Tamandua tetradactyla: one gene and its partners. The protein of the gene in region 1 purifies or fractionates together with the protein of each later gene. This does not show direct contact. Links are inferred from orthologs where the notes say so. Each region holds a gene or a part of one and is shown on either strand. Other genes may lie near its edges. The genes, in order: MAVS, SQSTM1, PLAAT4 and PLK1.

Region 1 (7,882 bases):
AGAGTTCTCGCCTGCCATGCCAGATGCTGGGGTTCGATTCCCGGTGCCTGCCCATGCAAAAGAAAAAGAAAAGAAAAAAGATCCAACCCAGGATCCCACGTTGCATTGAGTCGCATGTCTTTTTACTCTCCTTTGGTCTGGAAAAGTTCTCCAGGCTTTCCTTGTACTGCATGACCTTGACATTTTTGAAGAGTTATTCTGTACCTCAGTGCTGTCCAGCTGAACTTTTTTTTTAACTGTACATTTCATGACGATAGAAATGCCTCTATCTGCTCAAAATAGTATGTGAAATGTGACTAGCAGGGCTGAGGAACTGATTTTAAATTTTATTTAATTGTAATAAAAATAGCTGCATGTGACTAATGGCTACTATATTAAACAGCACAGCACTACAATGTCCCTCATTTTTGGTTTGTTTGATGTCTCCTCACAATTAGCTTCATTTTATACATTTTCAGCAGGAATACCACAGACATGCTGTTGTGCCTTCCTTTGTCTAAATTTTTTAAAAGCTACCAACAGGTGACACGAAACCCCTTAGACCACAGTAGGCTGGGTTTTTTAATATCCCTTGAGGTCCAGTAGAAGGGTTGGCAGCTGCTCTTGGAAGCCTGTAGCACACTCCAGTGCTTTTCTGGCGAGGATTAGATGTGAGGCCACTGGAGTGTGCTACAGGGTGGGGGTTTAGTTTCCAACCAAAGTTTACCCCGTCTTGGCTAACCAACCAAGGCAGAGATGGCTTTATTTACAGTTGGATGGGTTCAGGCTTGATATTAAGAACATTTCCCAGCTGCCAAAGGTGGTGAGATATCCAGAGTTACTGAGGAAAGTAATAAAATCTCATCTGAAAAGCGATCGGGCCTCTTCCTGTGATCGAGTTTGGAAGCACTGGCTTTGGAGCTGGGACTGAACTTAGTCATTTGCAGGTTATCTCTGCCAAATCTCTTAACCCCTCTTTTTTTTTTTTTCTTTAAAAAATTGTGGTACAGAGGATGTAACAAACTTAAGTGTACAGCTTATGCATTTTTTACATATGCACAAACCCAGGTAGCTACCACCCGTATCAAGATATAAAACATTTTCATCCCCTTAGAAGGCACCTGTTTCAGTTTGCTAAAGGTGCTAGAATGCAGTAAACCAGAACTGTGTTGGCTTTTACAACAAGGATTTGTTAATTTACAAATTTACAGTACTAAGTCCATGAACATGTCCCAATTAAGGCATCAACAGGATAATACCTTCTCTGAGGAAAGGCTGCTGGGATCAGGGGTTCCTCTGTCAGATAGCATAGTACGAGGCCGGCATCTGCTGGTCCTTCACTCCCGGGTTTCATTGCTTTCAGCTCTGGTTCCAGTGGCTTCCTCTGTGGGTCCTTTTGGCTCCCCTGGGGCTTTTCTCTAAGCTCTCTCAGCTTTTTCTGTCCTTTATCCTCTCATAAAGGAGTCCAGTAAAAGGATTAAGATCTACCTTGAGAGAGGGCGGACGCGGCGCGCTCGCGCAGCCAAGAGGGAGAGAGGATGGAGCTCACGCGCGGCCGTGCAGGACTCGCCCAAAGCCGCTAGCGGGGGGGGGGGGGGGGGGGGGGGGGGGGGGGGGGGGGGGGGGGGGGGGGGGGGGGGGGCTGCGCTCACCTTGGTCCATGGACGCCAGTGCGGCCGCAGCCTAAACGAGCCAGTTCAAGGAAGAAATCTCTAAGTGTTTCAAATCGCATACTGACCAACTTGTGTTAATATTTGCTGGAAAAATTTTAAAAGATCAAGATACTTTGAGTCAGCATGGAATTCATGATGGACTTACTGTTCACCTTGTCATCAAATCACAAAACAGGCCTCAGGTTCATTCAGCTCAGCAAACAAACACCACTGGAAGCAATGTTACCACATCATCTGCTCCTAATAGTAGCTCCACATCTGGTTCTGCCCCTAGTAACCCTTTCGGTTTAGGTGGCCTTGGAAGGCTTGCAGGTCTGAGTAGCTTGGGTTTGAATACATCTAACTTCTCTGAACTACAAAGCCAGATGCAGTGGCAGCGTATGTCCAACCCTGAAATGATGGTTCAGATCATGGAAAATCCCTTTGTCCAGAGCATACTGTCAAATCCTGACCTGATGAGGCAGTTAATTATGGCCAATCCACAAATGCAGCAGTTGATACAGAGAAATCCAGAAATTAGTCTTATGCTAAATAATACAGATATAATGTGACAAGTATGTGGAAAGTTCTTTCAGTTTATTTGGCTGAAAAATCATACACAATTTCTTAATGTTTAATTTTCTATGATTAAAGAGCTTACCCTATACAGATGGCAATGCTAAATAGAGAAATCCTATTATTTCCTCAGGAAAATTCAACAAAAGACTTATTAGAACTATTTGAATTTACACATTTCTGGTATATTTTACCATCTTTGCAGACAGTTTATTTTGCAGATTTAAGGAATAAAGGGTGAATCTAAAAAAAAGATCTACCTTGAATGAACTGGGTCACAACTCAATTAAAATAAGCTAGCCAGAAGGTCTCACCCACAATAGGTCTGCACCCACAGGAATGGATTAAAAGAACATTGCCTTTTCTGGGTTACAGCTTCAAACAAGCACAGCACCTTTGTGCTCCCAACAGAACAATAGCACTCCAGAGATAACTAGCAATGATTTCTATTTATGTAGATTTTCGTTTTGCCTGATTTTGAACTTTAGGAGAGTGGTAACAGGTGGCACATATTCATCTGAGTTTGCCTTCAACAGTCGTGCATCATGTGGTGGGGTTATCCGTGTTTGAGTATCAACAGTTTTTCATTGTGGTCTATATGATTCCATTATGTGAATATACTACCATTTGTCAGTCTGCTCTCTTGTTGGTGTACACGTGGATTGTTTCCTGAGTTTGGCTGTTATGAATAAAAACTGCTGTGAACATTATCTGGTGTGCATGTTTCTTGGTGGACATATACCCAGGAGTGGATTGGTGAATCACAGGGTTGACATACATTTTAACTTTAGTAAAAACTACCAAACTTTTTCCCAAATATTCTAATTTCTCTATAAAAGAGGAAGAATAAACCTACTCTACCTGGTTGTTGTGCGAGTATTTCATGGGCCCTACACTCTTAAGACCTGCCCCTGAAATAGTGGAGGCTCAATCATTGCTGCCGTCCACCCAGCAGTGGACTGCGAAGAGCATGGGGTGGGGTGGGGGTGGGGTGCCCCACAGCCTTTGGCGGAGGGGGCCTCCTGTGTGGCTCACCACCTGCTTGGCCTCTGCCCTACACCCACCCACTGGGCCACCCCTGCCTCCCGCCCAGCCTGCACACCGCCTGACTGCGCACACAGGCCTTCGTGATCCCTGAGTGTCACCTGAACATTTATTTATTTTTAAAGTTTTTATCTTTTTCATTTTTAAACAGTTTTACTTACACATCATACAATCCAGCCTGTGTATAGACATGCCTTCACCTCCGTAATCTATCTAAAGACATTTCCTTTTCTTCCACAAATAATCCATACCTCTCCCCCATACCCTCCCCTTGACATTTAGTTTTGGCATAAGGCCTATGTTACATTCACTGGAAGCATATTACAATGTCACTGTTGACATAGACCCTAGCTTGCAGTGATTGTACTTTTTCCCATATACCTTCTATTTTCAACAGCCTGCAATATTGGTGTTCATTTGTTTTCCCTCATCCAAAAACTTTTTTTTATTTGTATAGTTAATCACCATCATTGTCCACTCTAGGCATTCCTTAATTATACCTTCTCAGTCTTTACGTTCTATCTTTTCTTCCGGTGTCATATGTGCCCCCAGCCCTCCATCATTCTCATATTCAGCTTCTTTCAGTTTACTAACATTATCGTACTACAATCAGGTACTATTGTGCTATTCATTTCTGAATTTTTACAATCAGTCCTGTTGCACAAACTGTATTCCTTCAGCACCAAATGTCCCTTCTCTACCCTATTTCAATCTCCTGATAGCCTATGTTATTAACTTCAATTCTCCAAGTTTGCCCATTCATGTTAGTTTGTATTTGTGAGACCATATAGTATTTGTTTTTTGTTTCTGGCTAATTTCCCTCAGCATAATGTCCTCAAGGTTCATCTGCGTTATTACATGCTTCATAAATTTATTGTCTCACAGCTGCATACTATTTCATCGTATGTATATACCACAGCTTGGTTTACCACTCACGGTTGATGGACATTTGTACTGTTTCCATATCTTGGCAATTGTAAATAATGCTGGTATAAACATCAGTGTGCAAATGTCCATTTGAGTTCTTGCCCTCAGGTCCTCTGAATATATACCTAGTAATGGCATTACTGGATCATATGGCAATTCTATACTTAGCTTCCTGAGGAACCACCAGACTGCTTTCCAGGGCTGCCGTTTATTGAATGCCGCCTGTGTGTCAAAACTTGGGACTCATGAACCAAGGAGATTAAAGCCCCTCACCCCTCAGAGCACGGTGGAAAGAGGGAGAGCTTCACCCAGGGCATATGAGCTAGGAACTCCAAACCACCCAGAGACTCCGAGGCCCGCCGCCTGCCTCGCTTCTGGCGAGACCGCAGACTTCCCCTGGAAGTTGTTCGCGATGTACAAGGGAAGAAAATAACTTACTGCCCCAGCAGGAACTGGAACTGCACCCAGCCCGGACACCCCACGCAACCCGCCTCTCACCCCAGGCCAAGTCCCAGCCCCCATCCCACAGGCCCTCGCGTGGCCCCGTCCGCCTCCGGGCCAATAGGCACGCGGCTCCGCGCCCCTCGGCCGGGCTCCCGGCCGCCGCAGGCCAAGTCCCCGCCCCCGTCCCACAGGCCCCCACGCCGGACGCGCGGCCCCGCCCCCGCTGCCGCCAATGGGCGCGCGGCCCCGCCCCTGGCTCCGCGCCCGTCAGCCCCGCCCCGAGACTTCACGGCTGGAGGCTGCAGCTGCAGGTCGCCGGGTCCGGCCTCCAGAGGTAAGGTCGCCGACCAGGGCGCCCGGTCTCTTGGCCCAGAGACACCGAGGCCTTTCGTGGAGGTGGGCCGCGGCGGCAGGAGCCGAGGGGGAGTGGTAGTCCGCCGGACGCGCGGGCTTCGGGGCAAGGCGGCTCCGGGGAGAAAGGGTCCGGCGGCATATGGGGCTTGGGATCATGGGGGGATCATGGGGGTCCACGTGCTGCACTCACCCGCGGGCGGCGGCGCGGGGCGGCGGCTCGGGCTAGAGGGGAGCTTGGTCCGGAAGACGACGCGGCACCCAGCCTTAACTCCTCCTACTGTTCCCAGGCCCAGGGTGACCTCGTGGCGAGGCCGAGCGCGAGCCCGAGCGCGCGAGCCCGTGAAGGCGGCGGCCGCGCCTCGGGGTCTAGGGTTGACAGTTTCCCCTGTGTCCGGGAGTTCCTGGCAGTGATAACTGCATGGAAAAACACCCTCCCCTCCCTCCTCCCTCCCCGGACCTGGGTCTGGCCCAGGGACCCGGGCCAAGGATCTGAGGCCTCCTTCCTCCCGGGTGGGTGATTATTTTTTTCTTGGAATGCTCCCTGGATCGGTCAGGTTGAAAACCCTCCGCTTCTCACCCTGAACGCAAGGCCACTTCCTTTCTCTTGAATCGGGAAGGAGGTTCCAGAAAAACCCTGAATAAGACAAAAACACCGTTCTTTGTTTGGATGCCGCGAAAGCCCCGTAAACATCTGGAAGGACAGTCTGTGAACTGCAAACAGTGGCTGCCTTAGATGTCTTCAACCTCTTCCAAAAACTTTCAAGAGAAGAGAATGAGTGGAGTATCCTCCCAGGCGCACACCTACCCAATGACTTCCCTGCCCCACCAAAGTGGCCTCAGACCCTTCCTGGGCTTGAATACAGGGGGCCATGTGGATCTCACTGTGCCAACAAGGCATATGGTGTACTGCTGTGAAACATCAAGATCCGAGTTCAAATTCTCCTCCACTGGCTCGCTGTGGGACCTGACATCACTTCCTCTCTCTTGGAACCACAGGGAGAGTTAATGGAAGAACCTTAGGAGGTGCCTTTCTATAGTAGTCCCTCAATAAAGATACATAAACATTTCTTTTTGGGTTACATTGCTCTCCCCCACTTGCCCTTAAAGATGAGGTTGAGATGCAGCAGAAGAGCCTCATCTGACTCCTTCCTGGTACCTGGTGCCATAGGGAGGGAAGGAGAGAGGGGTCCATTACCCACCACAGAGTTTGCTTGTCTCCTGAAGGCCCTACTCAGTACCCCACCTCCCTGAGCTTCCTTGACCTGTCACTAGCACTCACCCTATCAGAACGTATGTAGTACACGGTGATTATCAAAGCAGGTCTTCTAATGTGAGGCTGTGGACATATAGACAGGACCACTACCCCATTTCTCATGTGGCAAGGGGCTGACTGCCTCAGCAGCTTTTACGTCCTCTGTGCAGCAACACTGTCTCCAGGAGGTCTTACCCAAGCCTGACACCCATGTTTTTACTCCAAACTGGCCCTCCCCTCTACCCCTTTCCCTTCCTGATATCCAATAACATCTCATGCTACACTTGCTCAAAACTGAGCTGCGAAGTTCCCTCGGTGCTGCTGCCTCTCCCCTGGCTTCTCTACCTTGGTCAATTACCCCACCCAGCACCCAAGAGTCATCCTCGAATCTTTTCTTTCCCTTACCTCCAACATCCAAAGACATCAGGAAGCTACCTACCCCTTGCCACCGTGACTACCATCCTGGCCATACTCATTGTGCTGGTTTGAAAGGACTTGTATACCCTAGAAAAGCCATGCTTTAATCCTAATCCAGTCTTGTGGGAACACTCAGAGAGGCGAGCCACTGTGTAGGCGCTTGGAAAGGGTGGGACTGCCACTTTCTAAAGCCCTAAAGATAAATGACTGTCATACCTTGAAACCTAATGAACTTTGCCCTACAGGTTTTCGAAACTGCTTGGATCCGGTGACCTCTGTGTTCCTTCCAATTTCTCCCTGTGGAAATGGGACTGTGTATCCTATGACTGTCCTTCCTTTGTATGTTGGCAGCAAATAACTTGTTCTGAGTTTTACAGGTCCAGAGCCAGAGGAGAGTTTTACCTTAGAACAGACCATACCTGCAGCTGACTTTGATGAGACTTTGTACTAGTTTTAACTTTGTATTGCATTTATATTGCTACTGAAATGCTTTAAGGCTTTCTGATATTGTTATGAGATGAATGTATTTTGTATATGGGAAGAACATGTCTTTTTTAGGGTCCAGAGGGTGAAATGTGCTCGTTTGAAAGGATTTGTGTGCCCTAGAAAAGCCATGATTTAATCCAAAACCAATTTTGTGGGAGCACCCTTTTCCTTTCATCCCTATTCAATAATTTAAGTTGTAAACTTGATTAGTTATCTCCAAGGAGATGTGACTCACCTCTTGTGGGTATTAACCTTTCATTAGAGGGAGATGTGGCCTCACCCATTCCAGGTGGGTTTTGATTAGTTTACTGGAATCCTTTAAAAAAGGAAGCATTTTGGAAAAAGCTTGATAATGACAGGAGAGCAACAGAGCAGGGTCATGAGAATGATGAGTGCCAGAGCCCATGCAACCAGAGACCTTTGGAGATGAAGAAGATATATGCCCCTGGGAGAGCTTCATGAAACAAGAAGCCTGGAGAGAAAGCTAGCAGACATTGCTGTGTTCTCCATGTGCTTTTCCAGTTGAGAGAAACCCTGAAACATCATGGTCCTCTTGAACCAAGGTGTCTTTCCCTGGATGCCTTACATCTGGCATTTCTATAGACTTACTTTAATTTGTCATTTCTGTGGCCTTAGAATTGTAAACTAGCAACTTATTAAATTCCCCTTTTTAAAGACTTCCATTTTGGTGTATTGCATTCTGGGAGCTAGCAAACTAGAACACCTATCGTCCATCTACTGCTGTGGCCTC
Region 2 (8,001 bases), on another chromosome or scaffold:
ACACTGTAAAAGCTCTATAGTTATACAATCATCTTCAAGATTCAGGAAAAGGGGTTTTCAATAAAAATGGATTTTTCTTGAATAAATGAATGGAATGAAATCGATTCAAGAAAAATGAATTTCCCAAGACCACAGTCACATTGTAAAAGTTGTATCTTTAGATGATCCTCTTCAAGAATCAAGGCTAGGGGAACACTGCTCAACAGTTTCAGGTAACTTCCCCAAGCCACTCCATTCCACCATAAATGAAAACTGCACGTCCCTAGAATGCCTATGAATAACCTCCAGGATAACTTCTTGACTGTTTGAAATCTCTCAGCCACTGACACTTTACTTTGTCTCATTTTTCTCTTCCTCCTATTGGTCAAGAAGGCTTTCTCCATGCCACGGTCCCAGGTCCTGGCTCATCCCAGGAGTTCTGTCCATTATTGCCAGGGAAGTTACACCGCTGGGAGTCACGTCCCACGTAGGAAGGAGGGCAGTGAGTTCACCTGCCGGGTTGGTTTAGAAAGAGAGGCCGTGTCTGAGCAACAAGAGGCTCCCTGGGTGTGACTCTTAAGCACAGTTATTAGTAGGCGTAGCTTCTCCTTTGCAGGAATAAGGTCCACAGGGACGAGCCCCAAGGTCAGGGGCCTGGGTGGTTGCTCTCTCAAATGCTGCAGGCTTCCCTGTGGAGGAAGGAAAAGTCTGGGAGCTCCGATGTCGGCACATATGTGGTTTGGTCTGGAAATGATGCATGGCCCCCTCCTCGCAGGTCCTTGGCCAGGACTAGCATGGCTTGGTCCCACTTCAAGGGAGTAGTAGGTGGTTAATATCTGTCGAGTGTTTTGATGTTTCTTGGCATAAAACGGGTGCTACATGGGTGATACCCATACACTATTAATATCATTTATTATTGGGAAGTTCTGTCAACAGAAGCCGCTGGGGGTTTGAGGGTGACAGAGGGGACAGGCTCAGGCTGACCCCCTGGGTCTGGCCACCTTGTGTGGCCCTCACTGCCATCTGGAACCCTGGAGCGGGCCTGGGGCAACCACCCACCCCAACCAGAAGATGCTAAGGGCCTGCCTTGGGGTGGCCCTGGAGGGCACTTCAGGAGCCGGCTTGACACTCATGTCCACCTCGGACCCAGGGGGTTACATGACTCAGGCCCAGCTTGGGTCCCATGCCGACCCCACCCTGTTCTCTATGGTAGTCCCCCAAGGAAAATTTCCATCCTAAAAAGGAGGGGAATTGTGCAAGGCCCTGGAACTCCTGCCCTAGCCTCAGCCGCAGCCAGAACACAGGTCTGGGGGACCTCGGCTTCTCCTCCAGGACCCCAGAGGTCAAAGGGGTGCCAGGGCCCAGGGGCTGGTGGTCGTGCACCCAGACTTTGAGGATCTGGATGGGTCAAGCCTCAAGGCCAGACAGCTCACTGGGGAGGTTTGAGGGGGGAGGGTACTGCTCTGTGGGAGGTGGGGGGAGGACACTGGCCCGCCGGGGGTGCAGCCCGGACCCAGCCGCACCTCTTCAAGCAGCTACTCCCTCCACCTGGCCCCAAACTCTCCCCCACCCCAGAATGCGTGGGACAGCCCTCACCCCACCCGCAGCGCCTGCTTCTCCCCCCAGCGGCCCTAGGCCTCACCTAACCTCAGCAGCGGCTCCTGGGCTTCATCTTGCATTTCCCTGACCCCTTGCCCCCTGTCCTCTGAGAACGCTCTGTGGGCCTCTGTAGGAAGGGGCTAAAAGGGGGTTACACCCAGGGCCTGAGGCGTTTGGGCTGGGGTGGGGTGTCAGGGAAGGTCCCATTGAGGAGCAGACAAGGGGGGAGGCTGCCTTGCAGGGCGTGGGGAGGGGGGTCCAGGCCGGGGAAGAACCAAGAAGTCACCGGGCGAGGGAGTGGGCATGCGCAAAGAGTGGACATGTGCAGGGAGAAGTGGGCACGTGCACCGGGCAGGGGCTGTGGCCCGTGGGAGTGAGGGCCTGGGGAGGACTGGCAGGCGGGTCCCCTGGCCCTGAGCAGGCCCCACGCAGTGCAGGGACAGGTCCGGCCAAACCGCCTTGGACCCCTTCCCCTCCCAGGGAGGCTCATCTCTGGGGCGGTGGGCTGCGTGGGGAGGGGCCGCCCCTGTGCTCCTCAGTCCCCTTTAAGGCCTGCCGGGCGCAGCTTGCTCAGGGTGCCCGCCCCGGACCCGGACCGCGCCAGCGCGCGGGGGGCGCCCCAACCACCGCACTGCCGCCCATCTCCAGGCGGGGCACGGCGGGGCCGCTTGTTCGCGCCGAGGCGCCAGGCGGGCCGGGGTCAGCGCCCGCGAGGTCGTCCCGGAGGGCGGGTGGGCTGAGCGGGCACCGGGGGGAAGGGCCGCCGGCGAAGGGTACACAGGGGGCAGCGGGGAGGGACCTGGCTGCCAGCTGTGCCACCCTGCCTGGGGCCCGCAGGCAGCCCACCCGGCCGCAGGTGAGATGCCACCGAGAGGGGCCGGGGATCCCCTGCTGACGGCGCGGGTCACGCGGCGCTGACTCACGGCCGGCCGGACGGGCCCGGCCACCTGACCACGCAGCCCGGGGGCGGGGAGGGCCCCGCCAGGGGGTTCCGGTGCTGCGCGGGTTCCCGCGCCCCCGCCGCCTTGGGGGAGGGGAGGCCAAGGGCCGCGCTCGGGGCTTCTGGGGGAACCCTCACCACGGTTCCAAATGAGAAGGCGGGAGCGTGCCAGGGGGCGACCTCGGGGTCCCGCTGCTCGTTCCGGGTCCCGACTCCCACCCCAGACCGGCTTTCCTTGTGCGCCCGGACCGGGCACCCCACCCACGCGCTCCCTCCCCGCTCGCCAACATTCCCCCCCCCCCCCCCGCCCCCCCCCCCCCCCCCCCCCCCCCCCCCCGCCTTTCTGCAGGGCTGCCCCGGGCAGGGCAGGGAGCTCCTCTTTGGAGGTCCCTGGGCAGGGTCAGCCCCACCCGGGGTCAGTGCCTGCTGCCTTCCCACAGGCAATCACTGCACCTGACAACGCGCCCTGCCCCCCAATCTCCCTTGGTCTCTGGGTCTCCCACTAAGCCCCCTCTGAAACACCACGAATCTGACCACAGATCTGACCCTCCCACAGGCCCCCCACCTGGGCACTCCAGAGGGCCACATACCCTTCCCGCCAGGTCTTTCCAAGGCACCCCACAGGCCCTGGGCTGGGCTGCCCCAGGTCGCTGCCCTCAAGTACAGTGTTTCTTGGTTACTGTCTCCCAGCTGTTCTGACGCCCCTGCCCTAAGGCCCACAGGCCCCTGGCTCCCAACTGAGGCAGGGGGATCAGCAGAGAGCAAATTCCAAAAAAGCAGGCAGGCCACAAGGAGGGAAGCAATAAACGGCACCTGCGGCAAACTGACCCCACCTGAGCGAGTCATCCAGGGCCAAGTGTCACAAGGAAGGGAGAAGGGGAAGGTAGTAAAATAATTAATAAAAGTTACAAAAGGAACAAAAAACAATAAAAGCATACCCTTGATATTGCTATTATCAACACCAACACCATCCTATCAACCCTAAAGAACACCCAGGGCTCTATCTGAGACCCTACAAAGGTTCCGTGCACTAGGGGAACTTTCCAGAAACTTACAGCCTCCAGATGGTTCCTAGGCCAGAGAAGTCCTGAAACCCAGAGGGCCCAGCCTCTCCAGACATCAGCTGGTTCCATCCCCAACCCATATTATCCACAGCCCCTTCCAACATGAAAAAGTTAGAATCCCAAATACCCCTAAAGATTGGGAGAAGGATTAAAGGAGGAGGAGGAGTTAGAACAGAGAAGACAGGATTTAGCAAATGTTGAATGACATTCAGAGTATAATTGCTGAGTCACTATATACCGATATTTCTGTTGGCCTCCAGGGTCTTGGAGCAGCTAGAAGGAAAAATGAAAAATTGTGGAACTATGACCCACACAAAACTTTAAACTCTGTTTTATAACTACTTGTTAAAATGTACTTGGAGATTTATTGCTTTGTGTATATATATTTCATAAGAAAAAGTTGAAAATTATAATAAAAAGCAAGCCTTCCCACCGTGTCCTGCTCCTCTCATCTCTTTCCTTTTGGGAGAGCGTCCTCTCGCTACTACTTTTGTGTGCCCAGTACAGGAGCCGCCACGGAGAATACTGAATAAACTCTGTCTGCTTCCCGGCTGTGCTGTGCCCTTGAATCCTTTCTCGAGCCCTGGCCAAGAACCTAGGAACCTAAAGCCACAGCTGGCTGGCGCCCACTGAACTGAACCCTGACAGGTGGGCATCTGGGCCGCGATGACCACTCGGTGACACCTGACATCCTGCAGGGCTGGCGCCCCCCTGTGCTCTTCCAGCACCTCTCAACTAAACTGGGGGGCTGTGGAGCTCAGGCCTGAGTCGGGCGTGACCGTCCACCCCGTTAGGGCTCAGGCGTGGGCGATGCTGTGCAGTGCCGGGGGAGTCCGCTGCTCCAGGGGCCTGGGGACCCTCAGCGCGTTAGAACGGGGGCTGCCTGCTCCCGGCGGCCGGACCCACCGAGGGGCCTCGGCCCCCCGACTCTGCTCCGGGGCAGCCGCGAGGCTGTAGTGCTGCGTCACGACCAGGCCCAGGTCTGGGGAGGGGCCTGGGGTCCCGCCCCTTCCCCCGGGACCAGCGCCTCAGCCCAGGCTGCCGCGGTATAAGCACAGGAACCCGCCCTGCGGGGGCCGCCTTAGGGGACCCCTGCACCTGCGGGCGGCGAGGGAGGGGCCGTCGGGAGGAGGCCGCGGGGCCGGGGTCCGCGGAGGGCGGCCCGCGCCGGGGCCCCAGCAGGGCGGCTCGCGAGTGCGGCGGCGGGGCGGGGCGGGGCGACGAGGCTCCGCCCAGGGGGCGGGGCAGAGCGGGGCTCCCGCTCTACAAAGGCGGCGGCGGCGGCGGGCCGGGCGCAGTGCCGGCGCGGCCATGGCGACGCTCACGGTGAAGGCGTACCTGCTGGGCCGCGAGGAGGCGGCGCGCGAGATCCGCCGCTTCAGGTTCTGCTTCGGCCGCGAGCCCGAGGCCGAGCCCGAGCCCGAGCCCGAGTCCGGGCCCGGGCCGGGAGCCGACGCCCTGGTCGGCGCGGGGCCCTGCGAGCGCCTGCTGCGCCGGGTGGCCGCCCTGTTCCCGGGGCTGCGGCCTGGGGGCTTCGTGGCGCACTACCGCGGTGAGCGGGGCGGGGGTCCGGGGCTGGCGGGCGCTCCTCCCTCCTCCCTCCCTCCCCCCACCCCTTCCCAAGCCGGGCAGGGGCGGGTGATGGCTGTGCCCGGCCACAGCTGGGCCTCGGGTGGCCGCCGGGGGCAGGGAGTTCGAGCACAGGCCCGGCCCGGTCCGTGCGGGCTGCCAGGCCCCCCAGCGGCGCTCCGGCCTGGGGGCGTGAGGCTCCCCTCCCCCGCCGGGCACTGCAGATCCCGCAAGGTCGCCCCCGGGGCGGGGTCGGGACGGGCGGCGGACACTCGGGTTACGCTGACGTCCGCCGGCTGTCGCCTCCCGCTGCCAGCGCCGGGGGCGGGGTGGGGTCAGCTGATGTCCGGAGACCGCAGGCCGAGCCGGCGCGGAGGAGGGCCCACCTGGGCCAGGCGGGAGAGACGTGCGAAGCCGCCCGGGTGTCCCCCGGCATGCGCGGGGCAGAGGGTGGGCTGGGGGAGGGGCTGTGAGCGCAGGGCCGGGGGTGGGCGGGGGGTGGGCGGGGGAGGGCCTGTGAGTGCAGGGCCGGCTCCTGCAGGCCGGGAGCTGGGGGGGGGGGGGTTGGGGGGGCCGGGGGCGGGCCGAAAGGGAGGGCGGGGCTGCCGGGCCCGTCCCGTGTCTTTTTCCTTTGTAATTGTTCCGTGGGCTGTAGTTGTTGTCCGGGCAGGACGCTCAGGAGCGTGCAGAATATGGTGGTTTCAGCACGCTCACACATATTTTAGGACCTTTTCATTATCTTAAGGGACAGACCTGTACCCTGAAACACTCGCGTTCGGGTCTTTCTGACGTTTCCGTGTTTTGGCGCTGCCCTGTCCTTGCGGGGTTCAGCTGATGGGGATGCGCGGCGAGGTTTGGGCCGCAGGGTGGGTCCGACAATAAAACCCGGAGACCGCGCACCAGTCACAGGCTCGGAGCAGGCCGGCCCGGGGCCCCCCCTTCCCGACGCCGTCACGGTGGCGGCGGGTCTTGCCTCCCACCCTGCGGTTCCCCGGGACGGGGTCCCCCACGTGCCCCCTGGCACCGGCCTCAGCCCGTTTCAGCCCCGCAGGAGGCGCGGGCACTCACCTCTCTTCCCCACACCAGATGAGGACGGCGACCTCGTGGCCTTTTCGAGCGACGAGGAGCTGGCGATGGCGACGTCGGGCGTGAGTGACGGCACCTTCCGCATCTACCTGAAAGGTGAGGGGCTGCCTGCCGACCCCGAGGCCAGGGGGGCAGGGGCGGTCTTAGACGCTGTGTTCCTGCTGCAGAGGAGGCGCTGGCGCTGCGCGCAGGGCCCGGGGTCTGGAGGCCGTCGTGCAGCGCAGCCGGGTCTGGGGCCCCTCCGCTGCCCCGCTCACCGCCGGGTGCCCAGGCCTCGCGCCGCCCGGCATTGGCCGCGCCCCGCCTCGCTGCACACGGGGTCAGCCTCGGCGCCCCTCCCGCCCTCCGGGGGCTTGTGCCACCAAGGCCGGGGCGGCTTCGGGTGCTTGGGGGTTGTTTGAGGAGCCAGAAGCTGCTGCTCACCGGCCGCCCAAAGCAGCTGGGTCCTGGACAGACTCCCAGGACCTGACCCCACTGGCTGCCTCCCCTCCCCACAGAAAAGAAGGAATGCCGGCGAGACCACCGGCCCCCGGGCGCTCAGGAGGCGCCCCGCAGCTTGGTGCACCCCAACGTGATTTGTGACGGCTGCAATGGGCCTGTGGTGGGGACCCGCTACAAGTGCAGCGTGTGCCCCGACTACGACCTGTGTGCCGGCTGCGAGGAGAAGGGCCTGCACCCAGAGCACGGCAAGCTCGCCTTCTCCAGCCCCCTGGGGCACCTCCTGGAGGTGAGCAGAGTCTGGCGGTGGGCCTGGGGTGGTGCGGGGATGGGGGTGGGGGAGCCACAGACCCACAGCCCCCCCGTCCTTCTTCTGCCCTCTGGCAGGGCTTCTCGCACAGCCGCTGGCTCCGAAAGCTGAAGCACGGGCACTTCGGGTGGCCGGGCTGGGAGATGGGCCCACCGGGGAACTGGAGCCCACGGCCGCCCCGCGATGGGGAGGCACCCCCCGGCCCCTCGGCGGAGTCAGGTGAGGCCCAGGGCGCCTGCAGGTGGAGGGAATCCCACCCAGTGGGAGTGTCATTTCCATTCCTCATGGGGAAACTGAGGCAATGCAGTGCTCAGACCCGAGAGCCCTTCCCGCTTCACCCCTCTGGGTCCCTGTAGCCTGCCCCACTGTCCTCTTTTGTGCCAGCTGTCAGGAGATTCAGCCAGGCTTGCTCACCTTTAACGCATAGTCACAGAGTTAGAAGCTTACACGTAGCTGGTGTCCTGTTTTCAGGGTAGTGTCTCCTCCTGGTTGTAGTAATGTCATTGTGTCTTTGACAAGGTACCGGCTTGGTTTCTGAATGACCTACATAGGCTGTGGCCATTATTTTGGTTCTGCTTGTCCTGGGCCTGTGCTGGGGGAAAGGTGTCCAGGACGTGGCCTCCTGGGAGGGGGAGGGGGAGGGGAGCTTTGTGGGCCTAGGCTGCAGTCAGAGGTGCCCCTGGGACAGCAGGGGCCTTGGGAAGGAGCAGGCAGGACCGCAGCAGGCATCAGAGTCACCAGGACATGTGGTTGGAATTAAACATGCCTCCCACTTCTGCTTTTAGAAGTCAAAGCTGCTGGCCCACCAGAAGATGCCAGTGTCCATTTCCTGAAGAACGTAGGAGAAAGCGTGGCGGCTGCACTCAGCCCGTTGGGTAAGTGGGCTTTCTCCTCTGTCTGAGAGTTTTGGTAACCCCGTACAAACGTGGGGTTTTTTTTGCGACACTGACCTCAGATGATCTCTGCAGAGGAGCGGGTAACTTGTGTGTCCTGGACACTCCCGAGTACTTATTGCC
Region 3 (8,059 bases), on another chromosome or scaffold:
GCCGTTGTTTTAAGGGCGAGTTTGTAAGACAGTTAATATTGCTAGAGTATTAGGATTTATTCCGTTACAAAGTTTAATATAATTGGAGAGGTCAGTATTACGAAAAGGGCAGATTGCCGCCTGACAGGCGGTGTTAGCATTTTCATAAGCGAGATGCTTGATAAAATCCCTTTCGCTTTCCTGATCACCAAGAATGCACTGGGTTGCGGTCTGTAGCCGACTGAGGAAGTCAGTATACGGCTTATTGGGGCCCTGAACTATTTTCGATAAAGAGGAGGTGAGAGCCCCCTTTTTGGGGGAGTAGCCTCCATGCTTTAATGGCGGCGGACTGCACCTGGAGACCAAGTCCTCGGGGGTATTTTGCTTGGGTAGAATTAAGATGATAAGGACTTGACCCTAGAAGCTTTTTTAATGACCAGGATTTTGTGCTGTCCTTTAAGACGTTGCTTTCAGCATACTTTTTACACTGCTCCTCAGAGTCCGCTTTCCATAGCAGGAAATCGCCACCTGATAGGGTGGCTCTGGCGAGCTGTGACCAATCATTTGGAGTAAGTTCCTTTTCGCTAATATTGTCTAGCAAAGCCAGAGTAAAAGGGCAGTTGCTCCATAATCATGCATGGCTTTTTTTAGTTCTTTTAAATATTTTAGATTAATCCTTTTGTATTTATTGATTCGGGGTGCTTCCTCCCGCTCGCAGCTACGCTCACGGCTACATTTGGATTTTATTTCGTCCTCATCATTAGCTTTCTCGCTCCCTTCCCCGTCACTGCTTTCCTGTTCAGACTGAGGCTCGGAAGCTTCTGACCTTGCCTTTTGCTGGCTACGGAGGACCGGAAAAGTGTAACGGGCACAGCGGGGGTTAGAGGGCTTATTTTGGTTAGTCATTAGAGAGAGAAGAGAGCGCCTGACTGGCGGTTTGCAGGGAGTTAAGGAGGGGATTATTTTGTAACTACAGAATTACATTCTGAGTGGGGTCTGGAGAGGGGACATGCATCTTTTAAGGCATTTTCTCCCTCTCTACAAAGCTCTAGTATTTCAGGGTCTGAAGGGGAAGTTTTTATGGCCTCATTGATTAAGTTCCAATAATTGAAGGCTGTAACTGGTACCTTTTCCGGCCCGAAAGTTTTATAATAGTCCTGTAAACAATCTCCTACTCTTGACCAGCATTTTTGGTTTATGGTCCCGTCAGCAGGGAACCACGGGCAGGTTTGATAAACAAACTGAAAGAAATCTCTAAGGTCCTTTTTCTTAACTCTCGCTCCTCGCGTCTTGAGGGTTTCTTTTAATTGTCTCACGTAAAGCTCATGTGTACTAGATTCCTGTCCCATAGTGAATTTTTTAAATGAAAATGAAAGTGATTTACTGCGTGATCCTTCGCTCTTCTCTTTGTTCGTCCGTCGGTGCGAGGCAGTGTCGCCGGGGCTGCATACACAGGCGAGTTACTTCTGTGGCAGACCGGGGTTATGGGAGGGCCCTCCTCATTTTTCGGCGCGCGACGCTTCTATCTCTCAGCCAGCGGTCGAGGCCCACGTCGGCGCCAAATGTCCTGACCCGCAGGACAGTCAACGGGGTCCGCCACCTGCTGAGGGAAGAATGGCTATGGGACAGAGAGACGCAAGAAGGACAACAAGACAGGATTCTGATCAAGTTGCAAATTTTATTAACCAAGCCAGGTGTATATATACCGGCTTGGGGAGGGAGTAGGGTATGTAGAGCATTATGATAGGAGGGAGTTCGCGCCGGCGGGAAGGACTGGTTAGATAATTGGTGGGGAATTCGCGCCGGCGGGAAGGTCCCGGCGGGAACCTATTTCCGTGAAGAACCTTGTTGTACTATATAGATGCCATTGCATTAGCCGGGGTAGCCATGTTGGCTCAATCGCTATCTTAGGTTAGCCTCTGGTCCCCAACATAATCCAAGTATCAGCATGATTAAGAAGTGTATTGAAGTTCTGATAGACAAACAGTGCATCGAACGCAGCCAATCGTCAGCAGATGAATACAGTTACGTAGCGTGATGTTGCTGTCCTCCAAGTGTGGGTGTAAGAAGATCATTGCCATCACCATTTGGTGTGTTCCTGTGGGAAAAAGCAGGCCTGTGCCTCCATAATTTGGTTATTTGGCAGCCCCTGTTTTTCTGCTGTTTACAACATCACCAGTGCCACGTCATGAGCATCAAAGAAAATGCCTCTGGATAATTTTAAGCTCATGTCATTATGACATTTCTGAAAACTTTATTGAAAGAATGAGTGAAGTATTGCTGAAATGTGGAAATTTGGTTGGGTACCATGCTTTTTCTCCCCCTCATGTTTGCAGTTGATGTGTTTTATGTTTTTTTTTAATGTATCTTAAAGGACAAAATTAAAAAACCTAAATATTGTAATATGACAGATAACCTAATAATTGTATCTTCATTAAAACGACAAACATGATATTGCTGCTTGTCAAATAAAAAAAAATAAAGAAAAAAAAAGAATATATATGTGTGTGTGTTTGTGTGTGTGTGTGTAATGTGGTAGGCAAACAAGCTAGATGACATATCAGATCCTTCATTTTCTCATGAACCCCCTTGGTGGCCTCACCCAGGCTAATGGCTTTCCATGCTCTCTCCGGCCCAGACCTGACCCCTGAACTTCAGATACTGGGATATCCAGTTGTGCTGTCCACTCAACTTTCCAAACAGAATGTATGATGGATTTCTCAAACACTGCCAAAACTAAACTCCAGATCTTCTCCTGAAAAATCTGTTCCAGCTGCAATTTATTAATCTCATCTGATGGTGTTCATTCTTGACTTTTCTTTCTCTAGTTCCATCAGTCAGGAAATCCTGGTGGGGGCTTGACCTTCAAATTGGGTCAAGAACCCAATAACTTGTTACCACTGTCTTGCTTGGAAGACAGCAAATTGTTCTTTCTGCCTCTCCCTTTGACTCCACAGACTATTCACAACCAGGAACCAGATGGACTCTGTGAAAATATAAGTCTGGCCATAACTCTCCAACCCTCCAATGGCTCCCATCTAGTCCAGAGGGGACAATCAACCCCATCCATGGCCCACCCAACTCATGCAGATCAGGTCCTTGTCACCTCAAAGCTGCCATTTTCTATGACTTTCTCTCTGGCTCCAAATACACTGCCAGGTCTTGTGTAGCCCTGAGGCCTTTGCAATTACTGTTCCTTCTGCCTGGAATACTCTTCACACTTATTATGCAGGACTCACTCTCTTACCTTCTTCAGTTCCTTACTCAAAAGTCACCTACTCAGTGAGGTCTACCCCAACCATTCGTCTAAAATCATACCGCCCCATTACCCCTTGTCCCCATTCCTTTCTTATTTTTCTCCTTAGCATTTTGGCCATCTAATGTATTATCTATTTCACCATGTTGCCCAGTGGCAGCAAATTTTATCTGTGTTATTCACTGGTAGATCCCAAGTGCATATAGCAGTACTTCGCACATACAGTGAGCTCAGTAAATACTTGTCGAACGAACCCCAGATAAAGTCCCTCTGGGTTAGTCATCTTGGAGTTAGTCTGCAACAGTTAGTCCTGCTTGCTTACCTGGATAACCTCTCCCCTCATGCCTTATCCTCCCTACTTCCTTTCTTACATGCAAGCTGACATTCTGACCTCTTACTGGCCATCACAAGGAAGGAATCTAGAAATAAATGATTGTAATCAGTGAGGATTTGCAACTTCCTTCTTTCTTTTTTCTTTCTCCATGTTACAAAGAAAAAAGAAAGGTTTACAAAAAAAAAAGAAAAAGAGGTTTCTTCCTCACCTGTGTTAAAAGAAAAACTTTTAATGCAATTTAAGAACTCTCAGCCTTATGGAGTGATTCACGAGTCAAATGGCATCTCATTCAGAAAGTAGAAGGGAAGTCTCCCAGGGGGGTGGAAAGGGGAAGTTTATACAGGACAAATGTGGAAGCCAGTGAGGAAACATTCTGATAGGCTTACATTAAGTTTTCCATTTTACATAAATGGGGACTTTCAAAGTACAGAGCAGATATATATTGATTAGTATGATATGCTTAGACCTTCTGATAAGCTCTCTCTACTGGACAGAAACTGCTTTGTCATCAGATGTTGCTTATCGGCAACCCTAGTGGAGAGCCATCTCTCCTTCTGACCTCCCTTGCACAGCTTGTCCCAGGATAACGAAGCCCTGATGTTGATTGAACAGTGAGAAGCCCCTCCCACAGACTGATGTGACCCACCAGGAGTGCTGCAAACCTGTCAGGGTGGCCCTATCCCCTTTGATTGTTTGGGGTGGAAAATAGCACCCAAGACTGGCCAACAAAGAGTGGGAACAAGTCATCAGGGTGTGATGGAAAAGATTTTGCTCCCTGGTAATAAGAGTGAGAAGGGATAAAGAATCACATTCCTTTTCTGAGTTTGGACATTGTCCCTTGAAAATGTGATTTTCTTGAGGCTGCTGCAGCCATATTGGGCCATGCAGGGAGCCACTATGGACACAGGATCAGCATGATGGAAGGACGAAAGGCCTGGGCCTTGGGTGGCTGGGGTGAGCTGCTGGACCAAACCCGAGTCACCTGCCTCCTGCCTTCCTGTCACCAAAACACTGAACTTCTAGGCTGATGAAGCTGCTTTTCATTTCGTTCTGCATCTTGCAGCCAAATGCATCCTAACAGGGCCCAAGCCTCTCTAGGCTAAGGCACCTGCCACTTGCAGTCTTTTCTCATGGGTTCCAGCTCTCATCTGCTCTGCCCCCTGAGCCCTCTAGCCCAATATTTCCAATACTGACAGATGAAAATGTCGTCTGAGGGTGGGAAAGGGGGATCAGCATCTCTCTGCCGCTGAACACTGTCTTTTCCGGGATGGAAACAGCTGCCAGGATTCTTGTTGGAAGAGACCTGGGTTTTCCCAAGCAGGGGCAGGAAGGTGGGGGCTCTCTTCCCACTCTCACTGCTGTCAGGGGGCTTCCAGGCACCAGTGATTCCATATATGAATGAAGGTAATCAAGAGCCTTTGCATTTACAGCAAGTAGCTTCCTTTAAAACATTTTCTTTCTCAGAAGTGTCAGAAGGAAACTGAAAGTGAAATTCTCCACTTTGGTATAAAGCTGGCTCGTGAGCAGTAGAGAAGGAACCACCACGCACTGGCTCCAAGATGACTTCGGTAAGTTCCGACAGGACTTTCTATCAGGGACTCTTTTGGAAGCTTTCACCATAACTTGTTTAAAAGACGTTGCAAAAGTTGATATTTGTAACAACTTTTTACTTGATATTTTGAGAACACACACAGTTTTGATGGTTAATCAAATGGTATTTAAGATATTGTTTAATATTTAGAATTCTAGTAACTCTGATATCTGTATTTGTAGATTTTTTTTCCATCTTTGTTTTAATTTTAAATTGGTTTCTTGTTGCTTCCTATTGAAATGGAGCTCGAAGGATATTAAGGAATGACGAGAAAGAAAGAAAGACACAGATGGGCTCAGGGGGTTTGAAGCTTAACTTTAACAAACAACAGATAACTTTATTCTTATCCAGATCCTAGTTAAATACTGCAGGGTGACAAAAGGCATGCATGCATTTCTTGAGGGAACAGAGAGCTTATCTTTCAGTGTTCTCTTCCTTCATACTTAACATAACCATTTGGGGTAAACATTCTTTCCCTTCCAGACTGCTCTACATAACAATCTCCACAGTTTACTGCCACCACCCTGAGGCCAGCTCCTCCCAACAAATTCTACAGATCTTGTTTTAACCCTTGGCTCCTACAGTTTATGAGACATATTGTACAAGCAGGCTTTACAATGATTACTTAGATTTTTCTTTTTTTTTTTTTTTTACATGGGCAGGCACCGGAAAATGAACCCGGGTCCTCGGGCATGGCAGGCAAGCACTCTTACCTGCTGAGCCACCGTGGCCCGCCCAGATTTTTCTTTTTAATGTGCCTATGGATAAGCTAATCAAGACATCTATTTTAGGTGGTTAATAAGATTTCCATGTAAATTATAAAAATATTTGTATCTTCATATTTTTTGATATGAAGATACAAATATTTTTATAATTTACATGGAAATTGAATTGAAAATGTGATTTTCTTGAGGCTGCTGCAGCCATATTGGGCCATGCAGGGAACCACTGTGGACACAGGATCAGCATGATGGAAGGACGAAAGGCCTGGGCCTTGGGTGGCTGGGGTGAACTTCGTATTTTCCTGAAATAAGGAAAATATTTAATAGTATATGTCATTACTATAACAATACAGCCTGGTTGCCTTCATTTTAAATTGGTTCATGTGATGATTATATGGATACTTTATTTAAATATGGCTATGGTTAAGCAAACTAAGATATCCATTTTTAGTGGTTCTAAGGGTATTGTTTGTTTGCTTAAATTAAAAAAAAAATGACCTTGCAAGATAGCAAGGTCTTTGGGTCACATCTGCTTCTTCTCTGAGTCAGGCACACAGCCAGGGAGTGGGGGTGGGGTAGTAAGAGGGGGCGTTGCATGATGCGAACTGTTTGCTTGAGCCAGGGGGTCCAGCTCCAGATAGGGGCCTACGGAGGGAGCCAAACCCCGATCTGGGGAAAGTGGGCAGGTTCCCACCTTGCCTGCCTCTGTCGCTAGCTGAGATTCCATCCCTTCATAGCCTCAAATGGCTCTTTCCTCCTCCTCTCACTTGCATGTCCCTTTCTCCCTCTTTATAAATTGCATTTCACCTCTGAGCCCTGCTGAGCCCTGGCTGATGCTGCAGCCTTGAGATGAGAATAAGAACCTGGCAGAAGTCCTGGCACCACTGAGCCCCACCTCTCCTCTAAGGCTGTTTGTATCTTTGCCCCTTACATGCCAGGCCTTTTGCTGAATCCTCAGATTCAGGGTGAGAGGGACAAGCTGGCAGGATCCCATCCTGAATGGAGCACTAAGTCCCAAGGACGAGCATAGATGGTGGCAGGAAACTGTAGACCCCTCGTCATCCCAGCAAGGAGAAGTGGAGGTTCTGAAGGAGCCAGGGACCCAGCGAGGGCTGGCGAGCCAGGCTGGAGCTGCCAGGACAGCTGCCCAGGGGAGAGGTTTCCAAGAGGAGGGAGAAGAAGAGTGGTTGTGGGGACGGTGGTGGGAGGCAGAAAGAACCAGATGTGTAGAGGAGCAGAACCAAGAGAGAGCACTATGGGGGGGGAAGAAACCACCCTTTTGGGAAGGCCAGTCTGGGCACCGGGGAGACTGGAGGTGTGGGGGCCGGGACAGGAGGCAGGGAGGCCAGTGGGGTGGCCGTGGCAGTCACGGAAGTGAGGGCTGGGAACCCCTCGACCCAGTCAGTGGAAAGGAGATGGGATGAGGAAATGAGTTCCAAGAAACACCCTGAGTTGGCATTGCTGGGACTAATGACTGGACATGGGCAGGAAGGAGAGTTCAGTGGGACCCTTGGGTTCCGACTGCGCAGCCTGGCAGGTGGTTGTCACTCACTGAGAAAGGGTACAAATCAGAGGTCGGGAAGCTGGGAGGGGAAGGAGGCGAGAGGAGAGCCAGCTCAGCCTCTCCTGGCCCAGTGCCCTGGGGCAAGTCCTGTCTCCTGGGGCTTGGAGTGATGATGGCAATTATGTCGGAAAAGCACTCTGTGCCTGGAGCCCACCCCATGGCTGGAAGCTGGGAGTCCCTTGGGACGCTCACTGAGATGCTGCCAGCTCCTGTCTCTCAGGTCGGCAGCCCCACGGGCTGGGCAGGGGGAGAGTCTGAGGACAAAAAAGTGCCTCCCATGGCCGCAAACAACCGCAGGGCTGGAGGACGGGTTGAGGCTTTGAGAAACCCGAGACTCCACTAACTGATTCTGCTCGGGCCACACCTGTCCTGGGAGAAGGGGCCTGAGCGCGCAGCCCATGTGTCAATGCTCAGAGCCCCTGCGCCACCCCCATCGCCATCCATGCCTTTCTCACTCCTGAGCACACACACACACCCATGTGAATAGCATGCACTCGTCCTGGAGAAACCTCCTCTCCCACATTCCATGAGGGTCACTTTTTTCCAGGTTTCCAGCTCCTGGTGCCCTTTGCCCCAGGGAGAGTCTCTTAAGAGTGTTGGCTGGGCTGAGGAT
Region 4 (7,239 bases), on another chromosome or scaffold:
AATTCCGTTCTGCATATATATTCAGTAATTCTCAGTATCATCACATAGTTGCATATTCATCATTTCTTAGAACATTTGCATCAATCCAGAAAAAGAAATAAAAAGACAACAGAAAAAGAAATAAAACAGTAATAGAAAAAAAATTATACATACCATACCCCTCACCCCTCACCCCCATCTATCACTAGCATTTCAAACTAAATTTATTTTAACATTTGTTCCCCCTATTATTTATTTTTATTCCATATGTTCTACTCGTTTCTTCACAAGGTAGATAAAAGGAGCATCAGACACAAGATTTTCACAGTCACACAGTCACATTGTGAGAGCTATATCATTATTCAATCATCTTCAAGAAACATGGCTACTGGAACACAGCTCCACATTTTCAGGCAGTTTCCTCCAGCCTCTCTATTACATCTTGAATAACAAGATGATATCTACTCAATGCATAAGAATAACCTCCAGGACAACCTCTCCACTCAGCCATTGACACTTTGTCTCATTTCACTCTTCCCCCTTTTGGTTGAGAAGGTTTTCTCAATCCCTTGATGCTAAATCTCAGCTCATTCTAGGGTTTTTCTCAATCCCTTAATGCTAAGTCTCAGCTCATTCTAAGATTTCTGTCCCACGTTGCCAGGAAGGTCCACACCCCTGGGAGTCATGTCCCACGTAGACGGGGAGGGTGGTGAGATTGCTTGTTGTGTTGGCTGGAGAGAGAGGCCACATCTGAGCAACAAAAGGGGTTGGGGGTGACTCTTAGGCCTAAATTTTAAGTAAACCTGACCTATCCTTTGTGGGGTTAAGTTTCATATGAACAAACCCCAAGACTGGGGGCTCAGCCTATAGCTTTGGTTGTCCACACTGCTTGTGAGAATATCAAGAATTCAACTTGGGGAAGTTGCATAACTCCCTGTTCTCATCATTCCCCGAAGGGGGCTTTGCAAATACTTTTCCACTCACTGATCAAATCACTTTGTCAGCCCTGGATCTTAATGCAGGGGCTATTTGGATTCTTGATTTGGGATTCTTGCCCAAAGCTGCGAATTGGGGGAGATCTCATCACAGGGACTGTGTCCCCTCGACTTGCTTTTGGCAGATCAGACTCCACCTTCTCTGGAGATAGCTCACTGCTGATGTGTTCAGCTTTCCAGATTGCTTGCAGTTTGCAACAATGAACTGTTAGTCCCTCTGCTTACCTCCCCTTTCTCCCCTTACACACACCTTAGTGAGGTAGATTGATTATTAAAAGCAGCTGTCCTCAGAAAGGGAGCGCTCTTTTGCAGGCTGCTCACTGGGTAAATAATCAAGACAAAAGGGGTGGGAGGTTATGAAACCCCATTTTAAAAGTTTTGAAAATTAAGGATTTTGTCCTGACTAATTCCTGAATGTGTCTTTCTGGTTAAGTTTTGAAAAAATATTTTTCTGCCAAAATGCTTTCGTGCTTCTTGCACACACCTCTCCCCAAGTAAAGGCCTGGGTGAGAAAAAGGGATGATTGAAAAAAATATCAAGTTAGAGTTGTTGACTGGAACCCACTGGTTTTGTAACAAAAGAGGAAAAAAACCCAAAACCTGGCATCCTGGGAGGCATGAGGGAGTGGGGAGGGCACTTTTGATCTTTGCTTTTCAGTACTGTTCCTGGAAGCTTTCCCTTCTTTCTGAAGGAAAATTCTCAGTGCTGCCTAAGTGTTGTGAGCATTTCGAATTCCAACTGCTGAGCCTAGGGTCACACCTGGCAGCACTCAATGGGAGACAAGGGAGTGACCCTGTTCCTGCACTTTCATAAAGATACCTTCAAGTGTCATTCACACTCATGAGATGAATGAACACATATCGTGGACAAGCAAAAAATGCTTGTAACTGACTGCCTCAGTGCGCGCCTCTGAAACCAAGAGCTGAATTGAATTTTTTGCTTGATTGAAAACCCCAGGATGGAAGCCCCATAATTGAAGGCCACACTGGGGCCCTGTGAAGCTGAACAGCCCAACTCGTAGCTCTCCTGCTTGGGTACCTAACATTTGTAAACTGTGTTTCCAGGGTTACCATGTGTGTTCTCTGGGTTTGTACTTTTTGCACCCTAACTATCATGACACTGCCTTAGCCCTGGTATTCTTTCAGGTCAGCTTCAATTCATTGGCCTAAGTGGGCTGTGCACAAATTTATATCTCAGAGCAGGTTAAAAAAAAGCTTAACACAGAAACAGAGGAAATAACCTGCTTTCTAAGCTAGGCTTTTATGGTTAATGGGATTTGTTTTAACTGGCTAATTCCAGGAATCCTAAAGGGCATAACTGAGATTGGTGCTGCAGATTAGTCTCACCCTGCTGTGTTGGGGTCCTGCCTTAAAGAAGTCTTGGTCAAGGGCCAAGGGGATGGACTATGCAGAATAGAGTTGACAGGAAGCCTAAGACTGTTCTCCTTAGGGCTGTTTGCAAGACTGGCCCTTGGCTGGCATCTGGGAACTTAGTTTCAGAAAGGCTCTCACCATACTGTAAATGATAAGGGTGGCTCACTTTGCCTAAACTGTACAATCAATGTAGTTTATGCTGAGCATTTGCTTTCCTTCTGGGCATCTAGAGTTTTTCTCTGTGCTAGCCAGAGGGTGCCTATATGACAAACTCTCCAGAAAACCCTGGGTATGGAGCCTCTTTTAGCTTCTCTCGTGGACATTTTACATCTCTGGAAGAATTAAGCACATCCTGTGTGACTCCACTGGGAGAAGACTTTTTTGGAAGGTTTTTCTTGGTTTCCTCCAGAATCTGCCCCATGTGCCTTTCCCTTTGCTTCATATCCTTTCACTATAATGCATCATAGCTGTGAGTACAACCATATGCCCATTCCTGGGAGTATCCTAGTGAATCATCGAACCAAGGAGTGATCTTGGGGATCCCTGACACAGGGGCTTCTTGGTGGTGTTTACACAGGGTGTGTTCAGTTTGTGGGAACTCACTGAGCTGTGCAATTATGATGTATGCTTTTTCTGTAAGTATACTGCATCTCAATAAAAATGTAAAAGAAAAAGAGTAGAAGATTATACATCATGGGGATAAAAAACAACTTTTTAAAAACCTTCCTATTCAGCAAATATTTTAGTAACCCTTTTTAATCAGGTATTGCACTAGAAGCCTGAGACACAGGTTGAAAAGACAGCATGCCTCCCAGTTTAATTGGAAGGCAGGTGATCATAATGTGGTTGATTCTTGCTGGGTTCTGTCAGGGACATCATAGGGCTCTAAGGGAACACAGTGAAGGTACTTCTAACCAGCATTTTGCCATTTCATGGGTGTTCCACACAAGTGCTACAAAAGGCAAAGGGGAGAGGTGGAGACTTGTTGATTGGGAAGATGAGTAGGCCCGGTATTGCCAGAGTTTCACATTTTTTCAGGGAAAGCCATACGTGAATTTTTATGTGAGCTCTCATTTTAAATTCTGTAAATTCAACTTTTTTTTCTTTTAAGTGAGGCGGCCAAACAGAACACTCCTGCAGGTCAAATTCGGCTATGGACTGCCAGTTTGTTAGTCATTCATCCAGCCAGCCTTCCCTCTCTGAACAACAGGTGGAATGTCCACTATTTTAGGCACTGGAAAACATAGCAGTGAGCAAATCAGACTACTTTCTTGCATGGTGGGCACTCTGGAATGGTACTTCTCAAACTTCAGTATGTGGGGCGATCACCTGAGCAGTCTCGTTGAAAGGGATTCTGACACAAGAGGTCTGGGATGGGACCTGAAAGGTTGCCTTTCTAACAAGCTCCCAGCTGATGATGATTGCTGCGGGTCCCTGGATCATACTTCTGAGTAGCATTCTTCCATTCAGAGGGACTGTTTATTTGTAGGGGTTGGGGAAGGGGGGCTAAAATGACTTGTTATGGAGGTGAATTTGCCTAGCGAGCATCCGGTTTTTACTTAGATTTTAGCTTACATTTTGGTAGACGGAGTGGGAGGTGGGGTAGGTGGAGGAGGGTATTAGGAAAAGCTTCCTGGAGGAGGTGCATGGGAATTGCAGGAACTCCCCTAGCGGTCCGCGAAAGGAAGAAACCTAGAACTCGTCTCCTAGGTGTGGTTTCCCAGGCATCCCACGTGTCTGTTGCCCAAGCGTCCCGTCAATTAAGTTTTTCTTTTTTTTCGGTGCTGGGTAGGGGGTTTAAAGGCGGCTACGATACAGAACACTCCCATGGTGCCGCGCGGCGGGCGGGTTTGGATTTTAAATCCCCGCGGCCAATCAGTGGCGCGAAGGGTTTTGTAACGTTCCCAGCGCCGCGTTTGAATTCCGGAGAGGAGCAGGTCGCAGCAGAGCGTCCGCCCCTACCCTGCTAGGTCTGCTGAGCTACTCCAGGAGCATGAGTGCGGCGGGGACTGCAGGGAAGCTGGCGCGGGTTCCTGGCGAACCTGGAAAGGCCGGGGCCCCGGGAGTTGCGGCACCCGGGGCCACAGCGGCTGCCCCGCCGGCGAAAGAGATCCCGGAGGTCCTAGTGGACCCGCGCAGCCGGCAGCGCTATCTGCGGGGCCGCTTCCTGGGCAAAGGGGGCTTCGCCAAGTGCTTTGAGATTTCCGACGCGGACACCAAGGAGGTGTTCGCGGGCAAGATCGTGCCTAAGTCGCTGCTGCTCAAGCCGCACCAGAAGGAGAAAATGTCCATGGAGATATCCATTCACCGCAGCCTGGCCCACCAGCATGTCGTCGGCTTCCACGGTTTTTTTGAGGATAACGACTTCGTATTCGTGGTGCTGGAGCTGTGCCGCCGGAGGGTGAGGGTTACTGCTGGGGAGTTGGAACTGCTTGGGGGCCGGGAAAGGGCGCTCGGAGCCTCTGGGGAAGATGTTGTGGGAACTTTGAGCCAGGGAAGGAAAAGATCGCGGGTAGGAAGTATTGGCTGTTGGGGGAGGGGGTCCGATTAAGTAGAGCCGGAGTCGTTTTGCTGCTAGGGAAAGCGGCCCCTGGACACGAGGTGTTGCCCAGGGTGGGGAGAAGGGGCGCGGGTTAGGGATCGGAAGTGGGGATGGGAGAGTTGGTAATAGATGCTAAGGGAGGAGTCCTAGGTAAGGACTGGGGTGGACCCGGAGCTTCCAGAGTGGGGCTGAGGCCCGACTTCGGAGCTTCTCAGGAAGAGATGGGTCTGAAAGAGGATTTGGAGCTGCAAAAGGCCCGCGGAGGGCTACTGGGGACTCTGAGCTTCCGGAGTAGGGCTGGGAGAAGGGTCTCGGGTAAGAGGCTTCAGAGAATAGAGCTACCAGGAGACTGGGCTTGCAGTTGTCTTGGAGAAGGAATGGAGGTAGGATTGCGGAAAGGGGAGAGCCTGCCAAGACCCCTCCTCACATTTCTCTGCATGCACCCGGGGTCCAGATCCAGTCCTGGGCTGCCTTTCCTTAGCGACCCCTCCTAGCACCTGGACCTCAAGGCCTCCTCCCCATTCTTCCCCTCCTTTCCTGGCCCAGTCCCTGCTGGAGTTGCACAAAAGGAGGAAGGCACTGACTGAACCCGAGGCCCGCTACTACCTGCGGCAGATCATCCTTGGCTGCCAGTACCTGCACCGGAACAGGGTTATTCACCGGGACCTCAAGCTGGGCAACCTCTTCCTAAATGAGGATCTGGAGGTGAAAATAGGTGAGGTGCTGGGCCTCCACGGGTGCTGAACACCCCTGGAAGAAGGGAGATTGAGGAGGAGGTGGGGGAAGGAGGAAGAGGACAGTGGGAAGTCTGGGCTGATAATTGACTTTGGATCCTCTCTTTAGTCCAGAAATTTTAAAGAGCCCACAAGCCAGTTTCTTACCTGCCGAAGCATTTTTGTACCCCTATAAGTCTTTAAAAAATTTTTTTTGGAATTAGTTTCTGATTTTTAAACTGGGAAACTTGACATAAAAATATGTCCTTGGAGCTCCTTTTAAACAATTGGAAGCTCCAGCAACACGGGCAGCATTCCTTCAGGGCAGCCCTTTGCTGAGCTGAGAGCAACTGTCAGCTTTAGACTCCCTGTAGCTTGCCAGTCCCCACCCTTCCCTAGTCCCCAAGCTTGTTGCCTAGTCTAAGTCTTTGAGGTTACTGGCTTGAACCCTAAAGGCTTTTGAATTTTTTGTCCCTACCAAGCATCCTTTTAGACGCATAGCCCTCATTTTTAAGAGGAAGGGTGGGGCATGGGGCACTGGGAGGCACCTCCCTGTGAGGTGGGAGGATTTCTGGGCAAACCTCATTGGTTGTTGCAGGGAGTAGAGGCCTGTGGGATCAAATGACCCTGGGTCTTGATAGACACAAACAAGCTGTCTGCATTGACTGATGGCAGAGACAGGCATCCAAGTTCCCCCCTTTCTCCCTCTGTCCCAGGGGACTTTGGTCTGGCAACCAAAGTTGAATATGACGGGGAACGGAAGAAGACCCTGTGTGGGACTCCTAATTACATAGCTCCTGAGGTGCTGAGCAAGAAGGGGCACAGTTTTGAAGTGGATGTGTGGTCTATTGGGTGCATCATGTAAGTAGGGAGCTGTCTTAGGACCCACTCAGCCTCATCAGGGCCCCTTTTGGAATCTCACTTGGCTAACCTTATCCTGTGGATTATAGTCTAGTCTAAAAACAAAGTTAATTTCCTTATCTTTCCTTGTTACTCTGGAGTATCCCACAAGCTGGGCCGTGGGTCCAGAGAGAGAGGGTGGGGTAGCTGTCCAAAGATGTCCACCACCTTGCTATAGACCCTGGCTGCTCAGAGTGTCACGTGCAGACCAGCAGCATCAGTGCCACCTGGGAATTTGCTAGAAATGCAAGCTCTCAGGCCCTAGACCCGCTGGATCAGAATCTGGATTTTAGCAAGATCCCTGGGTGATTCTCACACACATTAAAGTTTTAGAAACACTGATCTATGAAGCAGCACTGAGCAAGAGGAATTAGACTGGGAGTTATTGCTGGCAGGAAGAGGTGTGTTCTCAGGTTAAGACCATCAGAGTGGAGTGGGGACTCCATGGTAGGCAGAGACCCGGGCCTTTTCAAGTATTATCTCTGTTTGTCGTTGCTGGTCTGGGTACTGGAGAATTAGAAATGAGTAGTAGCAATGACTTTCATACTTTCTGGCAATGGAGCTATTTTTCAAAATCTTAAGTCTTCTCTTCTGCATAGAACTATAAACGTGAAGTTGTTTCCATAGAAACAGGGAGACCATCCACTTTAATCTGTCTGTACGGCAGGTAGCCTCTTTACCTCTTCTGCAGAACCTTAGATTACTGTGGGCTCTAGTTGAGAAATCACTGGCCCATA

What was found.
Region 2: the proteins of MAVS (region 1) and SQSTM1 purify together in Homo sapiens (affinity purification with western blotting; 3 studies listed by BioGRID). This does not show direct contact. The link is inferred for Tamandua tetradactyla from reciprocal best matches to the Homo sapiens genes MAVS and SQSTM1.
Region 3: the proteins of MAVS (region 1) and PLAAT4 purify together in Homo sapiens (affinity purification with western blotting; 4 studies listed by BioGRID). This does not show direct contact. The link is inferred for Tamandua tetradactyla from reciprocal best matches to the Homo sapiens genes MAVS and PLAAT4.
Region 4: the proteins of MAVS (region 1) and PLK1 purify together in Homo sapiens (affinity purification with mass spectrometry; 3 studies listed by BioGRID and IntAct, counting the BioPlex papers as one, with this or other methods). This does not show direct contact. The link is inferred for Tamandua tetradactyla from reciprocal best matches to the Homo sapiens genes MAVS and PLK1.

The regions. Positions count from the first base shown.
Region 1 is NC_135327.1:56,981,099-56,988,980, reverse strand, and holds the start of MAVS (mitochondrial antiviral-signaling protein), read left to right. Parts: upstream 1-4,875; 5' UTR 4,876-4,956; intron 4,957-7,882.
Region 2 is NC_135346.1:1,371,972-1,379,972, reverse strand, and holds the start of SQSTM1 (sequestosome-1), read left to right. Parts: upstream 1-4,870; 5' UTR 4,871-4,893; coding exon 4,894-5,134; intron 5,135-6,237; coding exon 6,238-6,333; intron 6,334-6,734; coding exon 6,735-6,964; intron 6,965-7,032; coding exon 7,033-7,204; intron 7,205-7,770; coding exon 7,771-7,860; intron 7,861-8,001. UniProt on the Homo sapiens protein: Molecular adapter required for selective macroautophagy (aggrephagy) by acting as a bridge between polyubiquitinated proteins and autophagosomes.
Region 3 is NC_135335.1:11,186,611-11,194,669, forward strand, and holds the start of PLAAT4 (phospholipase A and acyltransferase 4), read left to right. Parts: upstream 1-4,980; 5' UTR 4,981-5,128; coding exon 5,129-5,137; intron 5,138-8,059. UniProt on the Homo sapiens protein: Exhibits both phospholipase A1/2 and acyltransferase activities. Shows phospholipase A1 (PLA1) and A2 (PLA2), catalyzing the calcium-independent release of fatty acids from the sn-1 or sn-2 position of glycerophospholipids.
Region 4 is NC_135349.1:33,375,644-33,382,882, reverse strand, and holds the start of PLK1 (serine/threonine-protein kinase PLK1), read left to right. Parts: upstream 1-4,230; 5' UTR 4,231-4,340; coding exon 4,341-4,748; intron 4,749-5,435; coding exon 5,436-5,604; intron 5,605-6,318; coding exon 6,319-6,463; intron 6,464-7,239. UniProt on the Homo sapiens protein: Serine/threonine-protein kinase that performs several important functions throughout M phase of the cell cycle, including the regulation of centrosome maturation and spindle assembly, the removal of cohesins from chromosome arms, the inactivation of anaphase-promoting complex/cyclosome (APC/C) inhibitors, and the regulation of mitotic exit and cytokinesis.